Schizosaccharomyces pombe: one gene and its partner. Each later gene encodes a partner of the first gene's protein in a complex. Each region holds a gene or a part of one and is shown on either strand. Other genes may lie near its edges. A codon is read from its position in the direction of its gene.

Region 1 (9,494 bases):
ACCATATTTATGCTGTCATCCGTTTACAACACAGCATCACTTTGTCTTTCTGTTGTGAATTGCTTTATTAACATAAATTAAAGGAATAAATCCTTTTAAGAATTGTTAATAAGTCTTTATTTTATAGATAGCTACAGCAAGTGTTTGTGCGTGATGAAGATATGTCATCAGTAATTTCATGAATTAATGAGGTTTTCCTTTTTCGACTGAAATAATTGAAGAAGGTTCATATTCTTTCTTAAAAAAAAAAAAACAATATTTTTAAGTTTCTAGTATTCTCTGGAGTCATCCATGGAATTAACGAGTGTAAAATTACTTGACATTAGCAATCGACATCTGAATTAGTTTTACGAGCGATTAAAAATGAGAAAAGAAAGGCCAGGAGTATTATTTAATAAAATAAGGTCTTACTTTATTTGTCCGGGCTGTAATTGTTTGCCTGACTGGCCTGTCACACTTCCTTGTGGAGGAACAGTCTGTCGGAAATGCTTTCGAAACGCATATTCTTCGGAAAGCTCTGGAAAAGTTAGTCCCTCAAGATGTTGCTTTTACAACCATAAGAAACCGCATTATTCTGTAGAGACCGAAGTGAAAGATGTGATCATTTCCAAAGTGGTTGAATTGATTAAAACTACAGAGTTTCAAATTTCTCAGCAGAGTTTGGTACCGCTGGAATTAAAGGAGGAAATTTGTCATGACGATTGTCTTTCTTCGTCACCACCTTGTACTTCTGCATTGACTGAAATTACTCTGCTGCCTCCCACTTTTCATAACTTAATACCTTCCTCATCTTCTTATGAGACTGCAGTAGCTGAATTTTTACATATGGAGGACCTATTACAAGAGAATGTTTCTCGAGAATTGGAATGTCAAATTTGTTTTGGCATGCTTTATGACCCAGTTGTTTCTCCATGTGGACATACATTTTGTGGCCCTTGCCTTATGCAAGCACTAACCCAGTCTCCTCAATGCCCGACTTGTCGTTTTGGGCTCCCATCTCCTGTTGTGTTGGAACATGCGAAAAGCCACTCTATTACCACATTTTTGCGAGATTTTTACCCAGATAATTGGTTAGAACGTCAAAAATCATGGGAAGAAGAAAAGGAACAGGAAAGTTGGCTTCCGTTATTTATTAGCATGCTTGCATATCCCAGAATGCCGACATTCCTTCATATTTTTGAACTGCGATACCACATCATGATCAAAAAATGTCTGGAGACTTCTAAGCGATTTTGTATTGCAATGCCTTTAAGAGCACGAAGTGATGGTCATAATGAGCATCGAGAGCTTCGAAATGCTCGTGGTCAACGTCTTTTTTGTTCTGAGTATGGTACAATTTTAGAAATTATCCAAGTCGAGCCTTTGATCGATGGGAGAAGTCTTGTAGAAGCCCGTGGTTCATATTGTGTTCGTATAATCGATTTTCGAGCTGATGGTTTGTTTCCGAGAGTGAAAATTGAAAAGCACTATGATACTCCTTTGAGAGCCACTCCACTCCAATTTCCTGAGCCTGAATATCTATTAATGTATGGTAATCTAAGTAATGAAGAATTAGTTGAAAGAATAGATGCTTTTTACATGAATGCCCGCCGAACATATGTTCATTGGGTTGTACCTTTAATCGATATAAAAATGGAGGCTAGACAGTCAATTGCTGACTTGTCTTACAAAATCACCAATCTTCTTCCTATCTCAGAGCTTGAGAAAACTCGCATTTTGCAAGTTGACAACCCGACCGATCGACTGGTTTTGGTTCTTATTTGGTTAACTCAACTTCAAGAAAGTTGGTGGTATCGTGTTGGAAGTGCTTGCACCATTGCTTGAGTTTTAATTGTAGTTGAAGTCGCGCGCCCTTTGTATGGGCCATAAAATATAGCCTTTGATTTACTGAAAGGTTATCTCGAAAACGATCAAAATACATCTAATTACCCTATACAAATGAGCACTTAATTCTTGGCATCTGAGAATATCTGGGGTTGATTGTCATGAATATTTCTTTGACCAATTTAAAAACACCCATGCCAATACAGCAAGAATTCTCTTTTTGTTTCACACTTTATTTAATAGTTGATGTTTGCAACTTTTAATATTTATTTTTCTTGATGGTTTTTTGTTTATTACTTTTTCACTGTGAAGATATTTTAATAGTATAATCCAAAATAATTTTGGTTTTCGTTATCTGCTGATGAAGTAGATTTTGGCATTATAGAGAAATTAATTTTCTGCTCTTACTAGTTCACATTTCATATTCACTAGTTTAAGAATACAAGTTTCAATTGACGAAGTGGTCTCTGTCTTTTTCTTACTTAGGCATTGGTTAAAGTAAATTTATAACCCCTTTTGTAATATTGCTAACATATGTGGAAAGGCACCTTTACTCCTCTATACTTGATCTTCAATTGATTTGCTTGGTGGGTTAGGTGAATACTACATATGAAGCATGGAGGCACAATAAATTATCGTTTGATTTTTCATGCGCGTTAACTAATTAATATGGAAATTACAAAATAATAAATCTGATGGTCTTCTCAAGGTGGAGCATTTGTAGAGCACTACTTAGTGTTGGTTCCTCACTGTCCATTCACCACAACAGGTAGAAATTTTTTGGCGAGCTTAAGATTATCGAATATGGAGGATTATGGTTCATATAGTACACCATTGACAGCAAGATATGCTTCTGCTGAAATGTCTCATCTCTTTTCAAGAGAAATGCGTATTAATACTTGGAGACAATTGTGGTTGAATCTCGCCATTGCTGAAAAGCAACTCGGTTTAACTCAAATTACTGATGAAGCTATTGAGCAACTTAAAGCGCATGTCAAAATTACAGCTCCAGAATTTGAAATCGCTGCTAAGGAAGAGAAGCGTCAGAGACACGATGTTATGGCTCACATCTATACATATGGTCTTGCTGCTCCTGCTGCTTCTGGTATTATTCATTTGGGTGCTACTAGCTGTTTTGTAACCGATAATGCTGACTTGATTTTCTTACGCAGCGCCATGGATCTTTTGATCCCTAAGTTAGTCAACGTTATCAATCGTCTTAGCCAGTGGTCTTTGCGATACAAAGACATTCCTACTCTTGGGTTTACACATTATCAACCAGCTCAATTAACTACCGTTGGTAAGCGTGCCACTCTTTGGATTCAAGAGCTTTTATGGGATTTGAGAAATTTTGTAAGAGCTAGAAATGACATTGGTTTCCGTGGTGTCAAGGGTACCACCGGCACTCAGGCTTCCTTCTTAGCCCTTTTTGAGGGCGATCATGCCAAGGTTGAGGAATTGGATAAATTGGTTGCCAAGCTTTCCGGTTTTGATAACGTTTATCCTGTAACCGGCCAAACCTATGATCGTAAGATCGATATTGACGTTTTGCAACCATTAGCTTCTTTCGGTGCTACTGCTCATAAGATTGCAACTGATATCCGTCTCCTTGCTAATTTGAAAGAAGTAGAAGAGCCATTTGAGGCTGGTCAAATTGGCAGTTCTGCTATGGCTTACAAGCGTAATCCAATGCGTTGTGAACGTATTTGTTCTCAAGCTCGTTATATTATGAACTTGATTCCTAATGCTCTTAATACTGCTTCTGTTCAATGGTTTGAGCGTACTTTGGATGATAGCTCTAACCGTCGTTCTCTGTTACCTGAAGCCTTCTTGTTTACAGATAGCGTTCTTAAGATTCTATTGAACGTTATTTCTGGTATGGTCATTTATCCTAAGGTTATTCAAAAACACATTCGTGCTGAATTGCCCTTCATGGCCACTGAAAACATTATCATGGCTATGACTAAGCACGGTGCTAGTCGTCATGAGTGTCACGAGCAGATTCGTGTCTTGTCTCATCAAGCTGGCCGAGTAGTCAAGGAAGAGGGAGGGGATAACGACTTAATTGAGCGTATTAAGAATACTCCTTATTTTGCTCCTATTTATGATGAGCTAGATTCTTTGTTGGATGCATCCACTTTTGTTGGACGTGCTCCCGAGCAGACTGAATCCTTTGTAAATAAGGACGTCTCTCAAGCGCTTGCGCCTTTCAAGAGCATGATCACTGAGGAAAAGGTTGATCTTGCCGTTTAAATATAAATTTTGGTTTGCTTCGTAGTGGATACGAACTTTTTTGATTTGTTTAAAATAGAAAGAATACATTTTTTTCATCGTTAGTATGAATTTTTGTTTGTAAAACAAATATTAAAAGCAGAGGAAATAGCAAAATAACTCTACTAGATAAACCGGTTTATTAGCTAAGATCTCGTTTTATCACGTCTTCCATTAATTCAAGCGATTTTTTTAATTTCTCGTCATTTTTTGAGAACATAGACCTAGACTTTTGCTCATCTTCAGCGCCTGACAATGGCTTTTTTATTGACGACTTTAATTGTTGAATCACATCTCCTTCCTTCTCCATATTAAAATCTAATGATTTGTACTTTTCCAAAGTTTCGGTCATTTGCCGGTTATGAGTACGTAATAGCTCAACCTGCGACTCTTCATGTTTTAATTGTTTTTCTAAAAGCATAATTAAAGATTCACGAGATTGGTGTGGACGATAGTCATTAATTAAATGATGGAGATTGAGCAGCAACACCCTAATGTTTTCAACCTTAGAAGGAAACTGTTCGGGTGCCTTCGCCATAATCCCTAGGAGTTCAAGAAAGTTAAGCATAAGTGAGCGGGATAAAAATCGTAGTTCATAAGCTCGCCGGGGAATTTTTATCAAATCACTCGTTTCTCCATCCTTTGATTTTTGATCTGCCCGGAAACCTTCGTTTACCGAAGAAGCTGAAACAGCTCCAGTATCTTGAGAATCTAAAGGTTCCTTCATTTGTATATCCTCCTCTTCCTTTTTAAGAGAGGGCTCAGTCTTTTCCTCGACATCTTTCATTGTCTTATCAGATTCATTATCTTTTTCTTTCATGGCCGTATGTTGATCATCCTCCAGAATTTTTTCATTTTCAATTGGTGAATTTTTATCATAATCGTGTACACGAGTAAAACTAGTACCAACTATCGCATTGGATTTAGGATCATATTCTACCACTTCAATTTCATCTTCTCCATCTTTTATATCTTTATATAATTCAGGGATTCCAAATTCTTTGAGTGAAGGTATAGCTTCGTCTAGCTATAAGCGATATAAGTTAGTGAGAGATGAAAAGCAGCTAATGTAAAACAATAAAAATAAACTTACCCTCCATGTGTCACCAAACATTTGATAAGTCCCAGATGTGAGACATGACGGCTTCTTAAACAGCTTGGCCAGCGACTCTATTTCTTCTTCAGTCTTAGGTTGTAAAGTATTCGCGTCATCCTCATGTTTTGCTTCTTTCTCCATATTTGAAATTACTTTTTCTATGTTTTCTCTTGTAAATAACTTATAATATGGAGGTGGAGGCGGAAAAGCCGAAAACAGTTGTACTCCTTCGTTTGGTTCCATTCTCTTTTAGTTAAATAGTATTTATCGTAAACTAGATTTTAGATTGATGTAACTGTCTTCCCTTTTATCGCTGATTCTTAGTATAAAAATGCCTGCTCTTTTTTTTTCTTTTTTTTTTTAGAAAAGCAGTTTCTATAATGTTAAGAAAACCGTAATTGAACAACGATATGACGCTCAATAACTGATTGACATGAAAATCCTGAATATAAAAACACTTGAAAATAACCGATCTTTTGCTCAAAATGGATTTTGGAATAGTCAGTAAAAGTGGGTAGTTTTATCTGGCATATGGAATACGAAGTGAAAGCTTCTATCACCAATAAATTTTGCTATAAATTGTTTATTTCGATATCTTTAATCATTCTTGGTTTTAAATTAGTTTCACTGATTAAAGTAGCTTAAAATTATACACTTCTTGGCTTTTTTAATTTTTAGAGAATTGCAGTGTTTCTTTTAACAACACTGAATTATTCTTTTTAATAAATGGGCTTGGAAACGAATTAAGTAGGAGTTTATTACTTGTAATATTACAGCTTATCGCTATTGTTGAATGCCATAAAATCCTTAACATGAATATTTTACTAGGCCAACATAATCGTAAAATTTAAATTGATTAAGTGATAAAGTATTTTGATATTCCTCTATACGAAGGATTAGTTAGTATTGAATGGATTACAAAATCAACACATGCAATACTACGAACTTTTACATTTTCATAAATTTGTCACATAACCGTAGTAAACATATTTGTTATAACTGTTTCTTTTTAGTAATTAACTAATTTATCCATTGCTAGTGATTGTCTGCAAATTTTCGCTGCTACGGTTTGATACAGTCATCAGATACATCAAAGAAATTCAACGATAATTGATATTTGTTCAATTTTGTAAAGAAAATTAAATAAATAGCACCATATCATGATAATACCAGTTACGATAAATTGGATAAGATGCCTGGCAATATAACAATAACAAACCAATTGTTCAAACGATGACTTTTTGTAATTTCCTGCAACTAAACTAACAGTTTCGTAGCAATTAAAACAAAAACATCATTCAAATAATATACATTCACAATGCTCTATATTACTTCAGATGTCCTCGCTCCAGTTTTCCAAAGAGAAGGATAATCTGAAAAATAGTAGATGACTAGACTTTTATTTTTCGGCAGACTCAGAAATGGCTGGAGGAGCAGATTCGCCAAAGTTGTGCAGTCTCGTACCAACTAAGTATAAATCATCACGTATTCCTTGCGACCATTTACTACTAGTTTCTACAAAACGGCGCCCCAAGAGTGCTAGCCCAAGTAATGCTAAAAATATAGGATGCATCAACCGATACATAAGGGTTTTAGATGCAGAAGGGAAAATGGATGAAAGAAAAGGATAGGTTACGTAAGTAAAAACACTTGGCAACACAACGGCGGCTATTAAGGCTGATGTAAAAGGGATGAGAACATTTTTTAATAATGGAAGAATTTGAGGATTCGTCCATCTATCACGAAAAGCATCTTGAAACAACCTTGAAACGAAACGCTCTTCATTAGAAGTCACAGTAAAATATATCATACGAAGCATAAAAAGACCAATCACCCAGTTTTGGAATGCATCGAGAGCAAGAGTCCCTCTGTTAAATATCGTTCGGAAAGGTATAGCGACGTATAATTCCCATATAGCTCCAAGTAAGAGTGGTAAGATAAATATTCCAAGGAATGCTAATAAAAGATATTTTAACGCCATTACTAAGCTCCTCATAACAATTTTTAAATTTAGTTTATTCATAAGGCTTCGTAAATAGTCAAGTTTCAGAAACTTAACAGACGCGTGAATTGCATACATTGGAAAAGAAATAGAGTAAAATCCAATGGCGTAAGCATAAAAATCGTGCTTTACCACATTAGGAAAGCACCAAGCATAAATAGCTCTTCCTAATGAAAGTGGAACAAACACTAACAATACTGTCACAAGTGTTGAGCATATCCAACAAAATAACAACAAAGCGATCAAACGCTTATAAAAATTAGAAGGTGCATAAGTAATGGTATAGTCCGCATTTTCTTCGACCTTCTTTTTTTCACCAAAAATTTCATAACCATTTTCTGTCACAGGTATAAGCATGGCTCCTTGGCGAACTGGCACAACATCCTTAGAAGGACACCACAAAAAGAAACCGTCTTGGACAAAGTCTTTCTTTGCTTTCTGCTTATCACCATCATCTTGGTTTTCGGTATCCGAAGGTTTGCTTATAATCCTTCTAAGAAAAGAAAAATATTGCTTGGGATAATAACCCTCTTCATCACTATACCTTTGACCCATAACATATGATGATAGACGTAAACATCTGCAGAATGTTGACACCAAAGTTCGCCAAAAACTTCTAGTGAGTTCGAGAGGTTTAAATAATTTAATACTTAAAAATATGAGAATTTCTAACGCTAACAAGTCAATTGGTGCTTCAAACACAGCAGGCTTAGTAGTGAATTCAATAGGAAAAATTATTCCAGTTGACTTTAAAAGATGGATAACGCTACCAACACAGCCAATAATAAAAGCGAAATAGAGTATTGCACTGAATCCAATTTTCTTCAATTGAAAGAGCATAGGTTTCTCTAAAATTTCACGAATTGGATGAAATTGAGGATCATTTGGATCACGCAAAAAATACAGGACTCCAGGACGAACAATTTTACGTACCATGGAAATGAAAACCGCAAACTCAAACATAAATGTTATCCCAATGAACCATGCCAAAAAAATGCTTTGTGCTGGATAAACTGTCATTACATTGAGAAGATTCTCGGCAGCAAGCTTTTTGAAAGTGCCAATTAAGCACATGCTTAGCAATATCCCGCAGAAAATAGGAAAAACAACCAATTCGATAGAAAAAATTATTCCGAATTTTGCTATAGATCCGCATTGTCTCAAAACTTCTCTAAAAGCTAATTCCACATTCCTGATTTGAGGGTCATTAAATAGAAATTGTTTGCGATTAAGATATGAAATCCCTAAAAACGTAAACATGCAGTATCCGATAAGCGTAGTAAAAACTCGGTCTACTGGTCTATTAGAGTAATTTTCAACAAAATCTTTTAGTATGACAGCAAACATTTGGCAAACCCTGAAAACCGGAAAAATAGAAAATGATTGAACGACTTGCTTATGTCCAGTTTTCATATAATATATCAGCGATTCATAGGCATGATCGGAAGAAGAAAATACATGATCATATATCCAACTATACATATTATTTGAAACCTGTTGGAAAGAAGAAGAAAAAATTCCTTGAAGCTTAAGTTTTACGAAAACAGTTGATAACAGAGGAAGTTTAGTTAATATTTTCACAATATTAAAAGCCCCACCAACAGTCCAGTCAAATAAAATGTTAACGAAAGATAGTATAAAACGTAATATAAACGTCGGGCGATGAATGATAAACAAAATCCACTCAACCATAAGGCGTCCAGACATGTATGGAATACCCACAGCCGTTGTCAAGAATACGGAAACGACGAAAGCAATAACGAGGCAATTTTGCAAGAATCCAGTAATGGGTCCTCGAAGACCTAGAAATTCTAGTATACCGTCAAAATCGTCAGCATCATCAGCTTCAGCTATTTGGGCGGCGCGAGCAACGGCATTTCTTTCTTCGTCAGCGACGACTTGGTTTTGCGCCTCAGCTATAACATTCCTATTTAAATTATCTTCTTCAATAACCTCTTCATTCTCTGATTCATTGTTACCGTTTTCATCATCATTATTGACAATAATAGGCTCATGATCCACTCTAGTAAAATCAGATTCAATTCCATTGGCTTGGGTAACGGCTCCATCTACAATATTCTCCGAAGCATTTGAACTATGAGAGATTGAAGATTGCTCATCAACATTAAACTGGGGTCGCAAAGAATCTACCTCATCACGATAATCGACGTTTTGAGAATGGAGTGAATTAAATTCTACAGGTACGGAATTACTAGAATTTGCATCATTAAGGTCTAGGGCTGGCTGATTCAGTTGTTGCCTATTAAAAATTTCATCGACATCAACATCATTCTCCTCCTC
Region 2 (4,634 bases), 260 kb from region 1:
TACGAACCGGTCAACAACACCACAAGCAATTACCTGATCAATAGGGGGATGCGTCTCCTTAGAAAGATATTTCCTGAATTTCGTGACGGCACCTAATTGTAGCTCAATGTCGTCTGACATCACATCAGCTGTCAATTTAGGAAATTCATCTTTCATTTGTTGCTCCATTTGAACCTGAGACTGATCAGCCTCCTCTTCCACATCAATGTCATTTTGTAAAACAGCGTTTAAATTCCTTCGTTTATTCAAACTTTCCTCACGTTTTTGTTTGCGGATTTCAATTTGCTGTTCTTCACGTTGCCGACGAAGTTCATCAGCTTTGAAAACACCTTTGCTTTTAAAACGGCTTCTTCTATCTGATAAATATCTCGATTCCATTTCTATAGGAATAAACTTTTTTGATATCCTTTTTACTCTTTTTTTTTTAGTTATCTAAGACAGTTGTGGTTGCTGCGAGTTTAATGAGAATAAGGAGGTAAAAGAGCACTTGTGTCGTTCCAAGAAGCAGCCGGCACCCAGGTAACAATGTTCAAAAATAATAAATTTAGAATAATTTGAAATATATCATTTTCCGGTTCAAATCGTTGAAACTTTCTAGATCATTTTTGTTCTGTCATTGGAAACCTTCGCACCATAAAACGGGTAAAACAACATGCTTATTGAGCTCATCAACCAATTTTTCTTGGGTTTTTAACAAGCTGAATGCTATAACAAGAATTCAAAATTTAAAAACAAATGGAATTTTTCTTTAAACAACCTGTCAAGTTGGCCTATTTTTATTTTTATTTTGATTATATAATACATATAGTTGAGCAATTTAATCTTTGAATAAATACTTATTTTTCAAACACTTCCGTATCTGTTTTGTAAGCTATTAATATGTATACATTAATGGTCCATTGTCTAACTAGAATTTATTTGGTAGCTATTATTAATATATATATTTTTTATTTTTTTTGTGATAATAAAGATTAATTCGGTATTTATATAAATTTAGGAATTAACTTAACGGCGCTTGAAAACATATTATCGTCATTCAGTTAAAATGCTCTAAATCATATACACTATAGGAAGTAATCTAATTATATAACATTAACTTTATTAATTCACAAAGTAATTATGAAGACCATATAAACGAAGCTGATAAATCTCTATATCCTTGTTTTTTCCATACATTATTTCTTTCCTTCAGTTGTATGCATCATTTATTTATACTAAAAATTATTAATAGATTGACTATTTAAAACCAGAAACGAAGGAAACAGAAGAGATAAATAAAGAAAGAAAACCAACGATTTCATAAGAGCCAATGAAAACAATATTGCTGTTATAAGCAACCGAAAATATATTTAACATCTGACACATATCCAGTAAAATTATAAGAAACATTTTCTTGCATATTATTAAACCCAAATCCCAAATGACCAGAACGAAGTCTAGTGATTCAAAGCTTATGACTTTGACAAACCTTTGAATGCAACTTCATCCATTTCTTTTTTTACTTTCTTATATAATTCCATCGTTGCTTGGGCATCCTGGACGGAAGAATGCTGTCCAGATTGAATGTCACGCCCAAGAATCACTTCAGCAAGTTTTTTAAGCCCTGGTGTCCTTCCCTTGGCTAATTTCCGATACCCAGAAAATCTGCTGGTATCACGAATCATTCTTCTTGGATGCGATAAAAGTAGTACTTTGAGATCGTTATGGACAGCATGTCCAACCAATACTCGATTGTCGAGTATCTTAGCAACTTCTGCTTGTACTTTTTCAAATGAAGGTGCATCCCGCATGTGAAATGACTTGACACCACTGACCCATGTTCTCCAATCCGTAACCTTTTCTTTAGGACGGACATAAGTATCATACACGACATGACCATGATAATTAACTATACTGACGCGTGCAAGAACTGACATGTCATCTGCCACCCCAACCATTTCACAATCCATTGCAATATATTTCCCCAATGTTTCCAAATTGGTTTTTCTGGTAAGCTTGGAAGCATCCACGCCATATGCGTCAAGGACTTGAGATTCAGGGATATCATTTTCCTTAGCAAATTTCTTTAATTCATTCATGCGTTTTTTATCGACGATATAAGAATTCTCATTCTCATTGTTTTTACCTTTCACACTTTTAAGGTATTTCTTTTCATTAGAATGCTTTTTTTCAACCCGTCCACTCTTAGCGCTGTCGAGTTTCTAAACAACCAATACCGTTAGTATACTTAAACAAGAATCTTAAATGACTTAATGGAAACTATAGCCTTTCATACCTTCTTTAACTTTTCCCAATTGGAAGAAGACATTGCTTGTGCATAAGAGCCAAAGTTGGTGCAAGAAGCAATTTGCAACCTCTTTCAATATGATTCTCAACGCGGTATCACAAATATTTTATCACATTTTAGCACATTTCATTATTTTGAATAAAGCGTTGATGATAGTACGTTACGTTAAGTATCATTATATAAGTCACATGCCTTGTATTTATTTATCTATAGTATATATACATATATTGACAGTGATGCACCATTTGTTGCTTCTTGATGTAACTACTGCCAAATATACGAGACTATGAAATAAATTAACCTCCGTTCTTCGGGTCACCAATGAGCTATTTCAGTGTGTACCCACTTCGTAAGAATATTATAAGGTACCGGTGGTTAATGCATTTCCTAATAAAAGAATATTGTGAATATTCAAGACCCGTAGTAGCATATTCGTTAAACATTTAGTGATTTATGTTTGCTTAAAAGGATAGATTGTATTGAATTTGTAGCATTGTCCGCTATCTTTTTAAAAGCAGAGTACTGCAATTTTAATAACAATGCACCTTCACGTAATATGAAAACACTCAGAATGAATGGATTATCAAAAAGGTACTGAAAGGGGTGGGACTCGAACCCACGAGCTTTCGCACTAGTGCCTTAAACTAGCTCCATAACCACTCGGACACCCTTCCACGATCAAAAATATAATAAATATGTCGAATGTATTACTATTATCATTGTTTTTCTATGTTAATTAAAAATACTTAGCTGATTCTGTAGTTTCTGTAGTTTATTTTTTTTCGCTTTCCATTAATTTTTTTTTAAATTTTATGTACTGTTTTATGTTAAATTTCTTTTGCTTATGTCAAGCGTGATTCTAGCTTAATTCTTTTTCCCGATTGCTAGACAGTCGGTTTTTAGGTCGATACATTACAATTACAAACAATGTCATAAAATCAAAAGCTGTGCATAATAAATATCCGATGCTGAAATAACAGAAAAGTTAATTAGCGATTTATTGTTCTTGACATTTGCGCTTCAACAATTGTTACCTGCATCATGGACCTTCAACAACTTGCGACTTTCAACTCTTTTTAACTCATATTACACCTACATAAAAAAATGGCATGTAGGTGTACTCAGCTTCAAGATACAATTGATGAGGTAATGGGACTAGTTTTCTTTTTCTATTCTAACCTATGTAGGTTGCCACACAATTTTACTCTTCCATTCATTATTTAAGTTCTCATCATGATTTCGTTCCTTTACCTGGTCAAGAAAAGGTTTCTGATTCTAAAGGTATACAAGATTCATTATGATGCTATTCAAAGTAGCTACTAACAAATTATTAGTGAACCCAATTTCTGCTGAAGAGTTACAATGTACGATATTAGACGTCCTCTAGTCATTTTATGTGCTAACTTCTTTTTGTAGTCGCTCAAAGGGATCTAGCAAAAGACTTGGTTACAAAATTTATGCAAATAGACACTTTGATCAACCAACTTCCAGGTATTTCCACTGCACCAAAACATCAATTAGAGAAAATTAAAAAGTTACAAAACTCCATTGAAGAAAAACAATTGGAGAGGAAGAGTTTAGAATCAGAAAATGAAGATTTAAAATTACAATTGGCCAAGAGGATTGAAACATTTGGCCGGTTATCATGTGTCCTATTTCAGCCCTGATGATAATATGTAAGCAAAATATGCATACTAGCATACTCTTCTAGTTGCCAGATTTATTGAAGTTTTAAAATATCTTTGTCTGAGCTAAGAAAGAAGATGTGATCGCTGGAAGTGGGCTTATCATACGGGCAGCCTTAGATATACTGTTTTGACAAATGATTCCATTTTTATTAACGAGCTAATCTTTTTGAATCGATTTACATAAATATCTATCTACTTGTAGTTTTTAGAATGCCTTTACTTCATGCTGACGAGTACTTGACTGAAGTAACTAATTGTGAAAGCAGCTATGAAGTCTTAAAAAATAAACTAATAACAAACAGAATTTGAAAAGTAAAAAAATAGCAAATTAGCAAGGATAGTTTCTTATAGAAGAAAGAAAAAAATCCCTGATTTTTTAGAACGTTTAACGAAATTTACAAAACAATACGCTATTTTTGTTTAAGAAAAAAAAAATCCATTAACCATTCATTGCAAGTTCCTTTGCTATATACGACGGGAATTGAACATCACCATATTCACTTTAACTTAATTGTAATCATGGCTCCATTTCCTTTGAAATCGTTTATTCCCCCTCAAGTAGCGAATCCTACAGTAAGATTAATTAAAAAAGTGATAAATATAAACGAAAATCTAACTAAGATAGGCTTTGAATGCTTTTCCTAGCTCTGCTAGGATGG

What was found.
Region 2: the proteins of med7 (region 1) and srb7 are in contact, whole or in part, in a crystal structure (PDB 5N9J), measured with the Schizosaccharomyces pombe proteins. Residues at the interface, in NP_596734.1 of Schizosaccharomyces pombe: Gly203 (codon at 4,762), Phe204 (codon at 4,759), Arg205 (codon at 4,756), Ala206 (codon at 4,753), Asp207 (codon at 4,750), Gln208 (codon at 4,747), Arg224 (codon at 4,699), Ala225 (codon at 4,696), Leu228 (codon at 4,687), Arg229 (codon at 4,684), Ser232 (codon at 4,675), Arg233 (codon at 4,672), Leu235 (codon at 4,666), Met236 (codon at 4,663), Phe239 (codon at 4,654), Ile260 (codon at 4,591), Leu264 (codon at 4,579), Leu267 (codon at 4,570), His268 (codon at 4,567), Ile271 (codon at 4,558), Asn272 (codon at 4,555), Tyr274 (codon at 4,549), Arg275 (codon at 4,546), His277 (codon at 4,540), Gln278 (codon at 4,537), Arg280 (codon at 4,531), Glu281 (codon at 4,528), Leu283 (codon at 4,522), Ile284 (codon at 4,519), Leu287 (codon at 4,510); in NP_596630.1 of Schizosaccharomyces pombe: Cys3 (codon at 3,398), Arg4 (codon at 3,401), Cys5 (codon at 3,404), Thr6 (codon at 3,407), Leu8 (codon at 3,413), Gln9 (codon at 3,416), Ile12 (codon at 3,425), Asp13 (codon at 3,428), Ala16 (codon at 3,478), Phe19 (codon at 3,487), Ser22 (codon at 3,496), Ile23 (codon at 3,499), Leu65 (codon at 3,730), Phe69 (codon at 3,742), Ile72 (codon at 3,751), Asp73 (codon at 3,754), Ile76 (codon at 3,763), Asn77 (codon at 3,766), Leu79 (codon at 3,772), Pro80 (codon at 3,775), Gly81 (codon at 3,778), Ile82 (codon at 3,781), Ser83 (codon at 3,784), Thr84 (codon at 3,787), Ala85 (codon at 3,790), Pro86 (codon at 3,793), Gln89 (codon at 3,802), Lys92 (codon at 3,811), Ile93 (codon at 3,814), Lys95 (codon at 3,820).

The regions. Positions count from the first base shown.
Region 1 is NC_003423.3:4,168,582-4,178,075, reverse strand, and holds med7 (mediator complex subunit Med7), read right to left. Parts: upstream 5,717-9,494; 5' UTR 5,435-5,716; coding exon 5,189-5,434; exon of another isoform or gene 5,123-5,188; coding exon 4,238-5,122; 3' UTR 4,078-4,237; coding exon of another isoform or gene 2,629-4,077; 3' UTR 2,288-2,628; downstream 1-2,287. Other genes in the region: SPOM_SPBC14F5.10C (ubiquitin-protein ligase E3), read left to right, coding at 364-1,824; adenylosuccinate lyase Ade8, read left to right, coding at 2,629-4,077; ubiquitin ligase Doa10, read right to left, coding at 6,591-9,494.
Region 2 is NC_003423.3:3,912,370-3,917,003, reverse strand, and holds srb7 (mediator complex subunit Med21), read left to right. Parts: upstream 1-3,365; 5' UTR 3,366-3,391; coding exon 3,392-3,433; intron 3,434-3,474; coding exon 3,475-3,568; exon of another isoform or gene 3,569-3,621; coding exon 3,622-3,651; exon of another isoform or gene 3,652-3,699; intron 3,700-3,703; coding exon 3,704-3,954; 3' UTR 3,955-4,134; downstream 4,135-4,634. Other genes in the region: importin alpha family nuclear import signal receptor adaptor Imp1, read right to left, coding at 1-378; exoribonuclease Rex4, read right to left, coding at 1,452-2,201, 2,276-2,308; atp17 (F0-ATPase subunit F), read left to right, coding at 4,495-4,548, 4,601-4,634. UniProt on the Schizosaccharomyces pombe protein: Component of the Mediator complex, a coactivator involved in the regulated transcription of nearly all RNA polymerase II-dependent genes.